2 linked regions of the Schizosaccharomyces pombe genome follow. The gene in region 1 interacts genetically with each later gene. Each region holds a gene or a part of one and is shown in the gene's direction. Other genes may lie near its edges. The genes, in order: ppk26 and rud3.

Region 1 (5,085 bases):
ATTCACCCGACTTATATCCTTCAACAGCAGCTTCCTCAAGCTGATGTTGAATAGATGTTAACCGCATGCGAGGCGTTGGTAACGCACATCGATGTACAGGACTTAAACGAGGAGTGGAGTACTTCTCCTTTATCTTGGTAGGTGTTCTCACTAATTCATATATATCCCTAACCATCTAATTAGCACATATGATAAACAACAAATGCGTACGACTCTAGCTGTAACTTGGAAACTTCAAGCATGTGTTCATTCAACCAGTCCATGGTTTCAGATACAAGGAAGAAGAATTCTTTCATTTTTCCATTAGTGAGTTGTTGGGAGTATTCCAACTCCTTATTAAACCATAGTTCTGACCCATTAGAGCCCATCCTGTTTGGTTACATATAAAGAATGAGCTAGTTGCTGGAGAGTGGTCGGTGGTGGAAGCAATCAAATGTCAACAATATACAACAGTAGTTGTATACCTAAGCTTCCAACTAAATTTATAAACAATTATGCTTTCCCAATTTACAAATGATCAAAAGGTTTATTGTTTTCAAGATTTAAATGTAAATATCAAGTTCCGATGTTATAAACAATTGTTAGGAATATAGACATCGGTTAACGACGAAGAGGTTTTTAACGAAGTAACACTTTAAGCCATACATTTTTTCGAGATGCCGATGCTGATTTTATTGCAGTAATTATTGAGTGGAATAAGCAACCCAATGCATGCAACCTATCGTTCGTTTGATCAGCAGACAGAGTTAACTAGTTTGTGTTCAAATATCTTTCACCATTTGTTTATGTTTAGTATATAGCAAGCGGCACAGACATAAAAGTTTCTATTGAACGGCTACAAGCAATTTGTCATGCTTTATACGCTTGTCATTTATTGGATTTTTTTAATGATTCGATCTACAATATTCACGCATTTTCTCCATTTTTTGTTCACATACTTGCCATAGCTTTTAAAAATAATTTTTCCAATCAGACAGAGATAAATGCCAAATATCATACACTTGTCTTTAAGTTTTCAAGAATGTATTAAAACATGGGTAACCATTCTCAAAAAATTAAAAGCTTATTCAATACAAAATTCACCGTTCTCTTTTCATTTTGAGCTATTTTAACTCAATTAGACTTTTCATTCCTTACTCTGTTTTAGAGGACAATGTAAAGAGAATAGGGTAATAAATATGCTTTTATAATTGACAGTCTGTTATTATTCTTTTTAGCAATTTAAATATTTTTCTGAATTCCTAAAATTTCTTTAATTAATTAAATAAATAATATATACTTTTTTGTCTGACAGATCAAAAAAGGAAGGGTGTCCGAGTGGTTATGGAGCTAGTTTAAGGCACTAGTGCGAAAGCTCGTGGGTTCGAGTCCCACCCCTTTCAGTAATTTTTTATTGCATTTTATAGCAAAACAGGGGAGTGTGAATTTGGCAAGCTGTTAGTTTCTATAGGGAATTTATAACTGCGAACTAAGTTTTCTTACTTGCAATGGCTATATATGGGAGGCCGAATTGCTTGAAAAACATAGCTTTGCATTTGAAACAATTCGCAAAAGTTGGCACTAAGGAAGAAGTTAAGATAAAAAAAATTCAGTTACTTTGGTTTTATGATTTGCAATTAAATTACAGTGATCGCAGAAAGATAGCAGCATTACGAAGACATGTTCAACTGCTACATAACACTTGCTATTGTTAAAGTTTTCGAAATAGTTACTGCCCGTTACATGTAAAGAACAGATAAAAAATAAATTAGAATTACTGTCTTCTCAAATGCTTAAATATTACTACTATGAAATTGTTATATAAACAAAATGTAGCGTTGCAAAGTATTACAGTAAACTTCGTTGTGCTGCATTATTAGTATTGTCCGGGACTTACTGATTCCACGACCTGTAACTAAATTGCTATAATCTCAGACTGTTAGCTTGGGATTGCCTGGAAATTGACAGGATGAGTGTGAGGAAGAATTCTCCTGCAAGCCCAAAGCCAACTTCCCGTTCTAGGGAGAGTTCCAGGTCTCCGTCAGTGACTGATTTGAAAGGTAAATGGAAATTCAAAGCAAAACTTGACTGACCACCATTTTTAATAGACCATTCCAAAGCTAAACGAACATTATGTAGAAATATCTTACTTTATGGATCCTGTAAGCATTCAGAAAATGGATGTGCTTTTCGACATGATGGTGTAAGTATAGGCGTATTCTCTTAACTTCAGAGAAGCTTCTTGCTTACGATTGTTTGTAGCCTTTCATCCCTTCTTCAGAGAATTTGGAGCAATACTCAGTGTATGATTTTTTTTAAGGCTTTGTACGTATAATTAACCTCGCTAGTAAGAAAAAACTGAATGCTGCGTCGGCCTCTTTTCAACCTGTTCGCGCTTTACCAGTAAAGGCTGCTGGCGCTGCAGTATTTGTTCCTAAATCACAAGAAAAATCTCTTTTTCTATCTAGAGAGCGTACCCCTGTTGCGCTTTCACCAGGTAGTCATGTATGTCTGGCTAACAGCTTATATTTTTCTTACTAATTTTACTGTAATTTTAGGCTATTAATCCTTACAATAATGCATCTATGTTGGTCAATGAGCCTTTTCATGATGACTCTGGGGTTTATTATACTCGTCAAAACCAGTTTAAACCCGTAAGTCTAAAGCCTTATTATTGTTGTTGACAACAACAGACATTGTACAATTTATATAATCCGCAACCTTCTCCCATGCCAACTTTACTTCCTTATGAAAGAACTGTAAACGGTCTATTTATTGATGATACGACTAGAGAAAGAATCGAGAGAAAGAGCGAGGCATCCCGTCAGACAATTTCAGGTACTTAATTTGTGTCTAGCTTCCTTTATACTAATATTTTAGCGCTTCCGTCTATTATATCTTCATATACTTCTTTGGCGCCACTGAATACAAAGCTTTATCGGTATAAAGAGCAAATTGGATTCTCTTCTTGGACGTACAAATGCACTTCTTCCATCGATGGGAATGCTTACGTTTTGAAACGACTCCAAGGTAACCTTCAGATTCATAAATTGCAATTGCTAATATATTTAAAAGACTGTTCAATTAATATTGATACGTCGACTGTCGACAAGCTTAAAAATGTTTTTCATCCAAATATCGTACCATTCCATTCTGCTTTTCATACTGATACATTTCATGATTCTTGTAAGTTTATTTTACTAAACCTTACTAATTAATCAAGCGTTACTATTAATTTATGATTTTTATCCGTGTACTACAACCCTTGGTGAGCTCTACCTAAACAATTCTAAAAATTCTGTCAAGTTGGAGGAAAATAGAAAAATTCCAGAACGAGAGTTATGGAATTATTTTTTCCAGCTTACTATCGCTTTGTCATATCTACATAAATCCGGGTTTGCTTGCAACAAGCTTACTCCGTCGAGAATCCTTGTGGATCAAACTGAAAGGTATTTTTTTTTGAACATTTTTTATGTTTTGATGGAATACATTTCTTTAATTCATTAATGACTTATACTAACGTGTAAAGGATTCGTATTAGTGGTTGCGCTGACTATGAATTGGTAGTGTCAAACAAGCCTCCATTAGAGGAACGAAAGAAGCAGGATTTTGTAGATCTTGGAGTTGTGATTGCGAATTTAGCTACTGGAAGAACTGATATGGACATGTCTTCAGCCGCACGAGCAATTTATAGTACATATTCGAGGGAATTTTATAAAGCGGTTTTATACTTTGTATCGGAAGTTCCTGAGGATAAAAACTTGGAGTTGTTTTTGCAAAATCACATAGAAAGTTTTTTCCCTATAATGAGTTCACCATACGTGGAATGCGAAAAAATGGAGAGAAAAATTTCGGACGCTTTCCAACACGGTCGATTTTTTAATATTTTGTGCAAGATTATGTTTATTATTGATAATAATAGAGCTTCTCGTGAATATCCTATCGCACGAGAAAAAGAAATTTCATTAATCTACTTATTACGAGATTATCTTTTCCATCAGATAGATGAAGATGAGTGTCCTGTGATAGATTTATATCAAGTGCTGAATCGCCTGGGAAAGGTAAGTTTTTTACATTTTTCTCATTATTGCATTTATTAATTCATTAGCTTGATGCCGGTATAAATCAAGCCATCGCATTAATTTCCCGAGATGAACTTGATTGTGTTTCAGTTTCTTATGGGGAGGTAAGTATTTGCTCAAAAAGCCATAGTGGGTGCTTAGTAAATTAGACTACTTTTCCACACTATATAGCCTGTTTGTTTGCAAAATTACTAACAATAACAAATGTAGCTAAAAGCTTGGTTGGACAACGTTTACGAAATGGAAATAAATTCTTAAAATAAAACATTTTTCTTTACAGAATATTTATTTGTTTTTTTGTATCTATTACCATGGTTGTTAATTTAAGTAAATAATAGTTTTCGCTATAATAATATTAGAAGGAAGCTAAGCTTAATGTGGTTTTGAATTACCTACTGCAACACACCGTATTGAAACAAAAACGATCAGGAATAGAAGCCTGACACTTATCAGATAAAATTCATTAATACGTTTTCCTGGTTTAATTATTAATTACGGAAACTCCCATGCTTGTTAAGGTACATACAGACGGTTAATCATAAACTTCTTAGAGGAGAGAGTTTAGCAGTTGTCCTCAAAAAATGGCAAACCCTTTCGTTCGAAATCAATCTTTTAAATCAGTATTTTTTAAAAATTTAGTCGGAATTACCCTATGGGTACCCGTATTAATGTTCGTTGAACAACATGTAGTCAGCGTCGGTACAATTGAAGGTAGATCTATGAAACCAGCCTTTAACCCTGAGACAAACATGCTGCAGAGAGATAGGGTACTACTTTGGAAATGGAATAAGGATTACAAAAGAGGAGATGTAGTTATACTACGGTAAGTTCTTGGATCGTTGCAGGGTCTTTCGGTACTGAGTTTCCCTTTTTATCGTTACTAATAAGCAACAAGCTCTCCAGAAAACCCAGAGGAACTATTGGTAAAAAGAGTTCTAGGAGTAGAATACGATATCATGAAAACGAGACCTCCTAAAAAGTTGTCATTAGTACCCGTTCCCGAGGGACATGTGTGGGTCGAAGG
Region 2 (4,225 bases), 2.0 Mb from region 1:
TGCATAAAAACTTGTTCCTTTAGTTTCTCAGACCGTAAAGGTGGTAATGGCGGGGGATACTCTCCTTCTTCAAACTCCTCAGATGTTGGTTCATTATTTTCTTGATTTTTTTGATTTTTTGGGTGAGAGGAGGGTTCTTCAATGACAGGTTCGTTTTGGCGATCATGCCTTGACTTCAACATTTCGTAGACTCCTTCAATATGGCTCCAAGTAGAACCAGGGATAACCAAATTCACATCATCCTTTGTTGAATGCTTTGTTTCTTCTAGCAAGGCTTTCATAGCAAACATGAGTTTACGAATTTTTTTTTCCAAAATATAATACTGCCGATTTTTTATGTGGCTACTTCGCTTGTGACCAAGAGACCTTCTTCCTCTTGATAAAGAGTCGGAAGCGGATGAGGAGGAATCTGAGTCCCCTTCATGATGCCTCTTAAACCGTCCCATAGGAAAATGGTAGAAATATAAAGTAGATTGTGAGAAGGAAAACGGTGCTAAAAGAGACAGAAGTATCCAAGAATGCTGTATTGGGATCTACTTAAAAAATCGGTGTCAAAAATGGCCGAGAATTAAGTACGGAACAGAGTTCCGGTAAAAATATCGTCAGTAGAAGAAATGTGCAGTACCAGGATACTGTTCTAAGGGCCACAACGAAAAAGTTATTTACCCAAAATTACTTTACTTTGTGTTTTCTTTAGAAATATACCACAAACAGTAAAGAACAATCAAGAAGTAAAAAATGATCAGCACGAAAAGCTCCGTGTAATATACAAATGCAAAAAATCTTGTAACAAAACAATCAACCAAAAACAGCTCTCCAATGTGAAGAACACCTACCCAGCTAAGAAAAAAATGCAAAAAAAATGTTCTTCGAATAGCTGAATATAAAAAAATAAATATTTTTTACAGTGAAAAAAGTCTTTTTCAATGTTATAATCTTCAAATCTACCAATTAATGATATCTGAAGCAAATCGAAAATGCAGCGTAAAATCGAAATGTGATTAAAAACCGTATGTTGACCAAACCAAGGACCAGCAATCCTCCTTATTTGAAAGAAAGCTCTATCACCGTAGATGCAAGACAACGCTACTTACTTTGCAAAAACCCGAATGAAAAATAAACAATCTGAAATGCAAGTTCGTAGGAACTACCAAACCGTCAATATGAATAAGAAAACAACTCTTTTCTTTAAAAAGAATATGCAGACTCGTTCAACCTCATATGTGTGGGAGTTTGTTTATGTTGGGCAGTGAGGGACGAGAAAGGAGAAGGAAGAAAGAAACACTCTTTTTCCAACTTAGCGGTTTATTTCACCACGTTCGTTGGTTAACATGAGCAGAGAAAGAATAGGGGCGTACCGCAGCACAACGGTCAACAAAGTATGTTAATGTCAGCAATACTACACTACGCTATGATACACTACGTTGCGTATCACTATATGTCATATGTTGGAATACTAGCTAAGATCCGTTTATTGATAATCACGGGTAACTATCCGTCTATATACATAGATACCCGTTAATAACAACTATTTAGAAATATTATAAATAGCGTTACAACTGAACCTCGTTCCTCAGTTCAGTTATGAGCTATATTAGTGATAGGTAACATTATAACCCAGTTAATACAATACCTATACTCAGTTGCTACTTATACAACCTGTGTATTGTAATATAAATAGACCATAAGGAAAACTCACCGCAGTTCTACGTATCCTTAAATCAGATACCAAACTGCGTAGCTTACAGTTAAAGTTGAATACGTTGCTACTGTTTATTGTAGTAACAAATTTTAAAGCAAAAGGTTTAGTATTTCGTAAACCAAGTTAAAGGAATATTATCGAGGTTTATGGAAATGTTTACGAAAAGATGGATGTTTTAGGGCCACTCTAGAGCTCACTAATTCAATTTCCCATAATTTCTGGAATGGCAGAAAATGCAGGAAATGAAACAAAATTGGTGGAAAATGAGAATTTACAAGAGGATTTAAGTCGTTTGAACTTAGAAGATGAAAAAAATGAGCTCAAATTGAATGAAAAAGGCGGAGTTTTGAAAGAAAACGATGAACATTTAGAATGTTCAGAATCTTTCAAGAAATTGGCGGAGAAGGAGGAAGCTTATCAAACATTAAAGAATTCTTATAACTCATTGAAGCAGCAACACTCTAATTTACTCGGGAAGGTCTCGGGAATTAAGTCAACGTTGGGAGAAAGGCTTAAGAAGGATTCTCAAGAGTTAGCTCAAAATCGAAAACGAATTCAAGAGCTCGAAAAGTCTTTGGGCGATGCAGAGGAAGCACTTAAGTTGAGCAATGAAGAAACCGTAACCTTGACCGCACAAGTAGAAAGCTTAACGCAAGATATAACAGATTTGAGACAGCAAAATGCTTCGCTTGTTGAAGAAAATCAATTGTTATCGACTCAATCAAAACAATGGGAAAGAAGAGCCAGAGATGAACATGAGATGCAAGAATCATTGGCCGTTCGATTGGCAGATTGTGAAGAGCAGCTAGCTAGAGAAACTGAAAGACAAGAGCAGTATGAAGTTGAAATTCAACGTCATTTGACAAATCAGCATCAACTAGAAATTGAATTAGAATCCACCAAAGCTTCCCATACTGAAAACCTCGGTGAACTTACCAGAAATTGGCAGAAGGCCATGGACGACGTGACTGAGAAATTCGCTTCTAAATCAAAAGAGTACGAAGATTTGCAAAATGAGTTAGATGCTACACAGAAAAGGCTTTCAAGGGTCTCTGATTTGGAGCACGAGGTGAAAGAAAAAACCCTACTTATTGGTAAACTGCAGCACGAGGCCGTTGTTTTGAATGAACATCTTACAAAGGCTCTCTGCATGCTTAAAGATGGAAATAATGCAGAAAAAATTGACAAACAACTTATTTCTAATTTGTTTGTCTCCTTTTTGACGCTTCCTCGCGCTGACACTAAACGTTTCGAAATATTGCAATTAATTTCTTCCGTGTTAGATTGGAACGATACGCAAAGGGAACAAACGGGACTTCAACGTCCTGGTTCCTCTGTAAATAATTGGAGTATTCCTCACAGTGCGTCCTCTAACTCTCTATTCTCCGATCATTCCTTTTCCAAAAGACGTTCTTTCCATGACTCATAATTTTCTTCCACACTAACCGATAATTTTACGTTTCAATTGAGCAATGGTATGAAAGATTTTTCTTTTTTCTGTAAATAATAATATCTTTCGCTCTTTTTATGTATCGCTTTTTTTTTTCTTACTTCACAACTTAATTAGGGGTTACCTTTTGCCGCGCGTACAAGGTTTTAGTATTTTTTTACTCTCTTTTCACACATTTTGAAGGTTGACTATATCATTCTTGAAGTAATAGTTTCATACGTTCATTTTGATATTTTGCCTTCTCCTGCTATGCCTAGCTTTATGGCAAAAGCGCTTGTTGCAATTTCATCTATTAGTCAATATTCTTAATTTTCAAAATTGTTTGTTAATATCAGTTTTTTCGAAGAATTTTAAAAATATCATTTTATTTTAATCACTCAGGTCATAGTTATGGTCTGTATTACTAGTATGCAAAAGCAACATAGCTATATGCAAAGTAACTAATCATTATGAAGACATTATTATGAAAATTTATTTTTCGGCTCATTAGAATCCTTCTTTATCTGTGTAAAAACACCATCACGAAACCATTTGTTGGCCTCTTCTACTTTTTGTTGTCGTTGAAGTAAGGGGTTCACTAGTTCAATGCCTTGAATAGGTGTGAAGGATAATGAACTTTGTAAACCGCTTGCAGCAAGGGGATTCTTCTGTGCCATTGATTGTAGTTGGGCCTTCCGCGCTTTTGGTAACCGTAATTTAGTTCGAGAATCAATTGACACTGCACGAATTTTTCCTTCACCTTCTTGACCAAGCATACCAAGACCTTCCGTTTCGTCAAAATTAAAGACTTCCGCCTCCTCCTTACCAAAGGCGACGCGATTCTGTAATCTCCGCAATTCCGTTACGGCATATTGCTCTTTCATCTTGCGAATTCTTCTTCCTCCACGACGACGTTTTGGCCTATCGTCAGGAACGGGTAGCGCAACAGTTGGTTTCTGTGATGGAGGTTCCAAAAGCTTTTCAATTTTCCGTTCAACTTCCTTTCGAGCAGATATGCCAAATGAGCCATCAGGATATTCATGAATGGAATCGATTCTTGCTGCTAAAGCAACTTTAGCAGCAGTCATTCGGAT

The links.
Region 2: mutations in ppk26 (region 1) and rud3 impair growth when combined (synthetic growth defect), as found in Schizosaccharomyces pombe (one large-scale study listed by BioGRID).

What each region holds. Positions count from the first base shown.
Region 1 is NC_003423.3:2,764,554-2,769,638, reverse strand, and holds ppk26 (PAN complex subunit Ppk26), read left to right. Parts: upstream 1-1,885; 5' UTR 1,886-1,948; coding exon 1,949-2,039; exon of another isoform or gene 2,040-2,087; coding exon 2,088-2,182; exon of another isoform or gene 2,183-2,200; intron 2,201-2,241; coding exon 2,242-2,282; intron 2,283-2,327; coding exon 2,328-2,484; intron 2,485-2,537; coding exon 2,538-2,633; intron 2,634-2,672; coding exon 2,673-2,817; intron 2,818-2,859; coding exon 2,860-3,009; intron 3,010-3,054; coding exon 3,055-3,165; intron 3,166-3,202; coding exon 3,203-3,428; intron 3,429-3,508; coding exon 3,509-4,040; exon of another isoform or gene 4,041-4,087; coding exon 4,088-4,165; exon of another isoform or gene 4,166-4,170; intron 4,171-4,271; coding exon 4,272-4,319; 3' UTR 4,320-4,370; downstream 4,371-5,085. Other genes in the region: INCENP-like protein Pic1, read right to left, coding at 1-167, 211-368; mmp2 (endopeptidase catalytic subunit), read left to right, coding at 4,643-4,884, 4,957-5,085. UniProt on the Schizosaccharomyces pombe protein: Regulatory subunit of the poly(A)-nuclease (PAN) deadenylation complex, one of two cytoplasmic mRNA deadenylases involved in mRNA turnover. PAN specifically shortens poly(A) tails of RNA and the activity is stimulated by poly(A)-binding protein pab1.
Region 2 is NC_003423.3:738,350-742,574, forward strand, and holds rud3 (golgin protein Rud3), read left to right. Parts: upstream 1-1,913; 5' UTR 1,914-1,925; coding exon 1,926-3,131; 3' UTR 3,132-3,527; downstream 3,528-4,225. Other genes in the region: double-strand-specific ribonuclease Pac1, read right to left, coding at 1-446; U4/U6 x U5 tri-snRNP complex subunit Prp31, read right to left, coding at 3,614-4,225.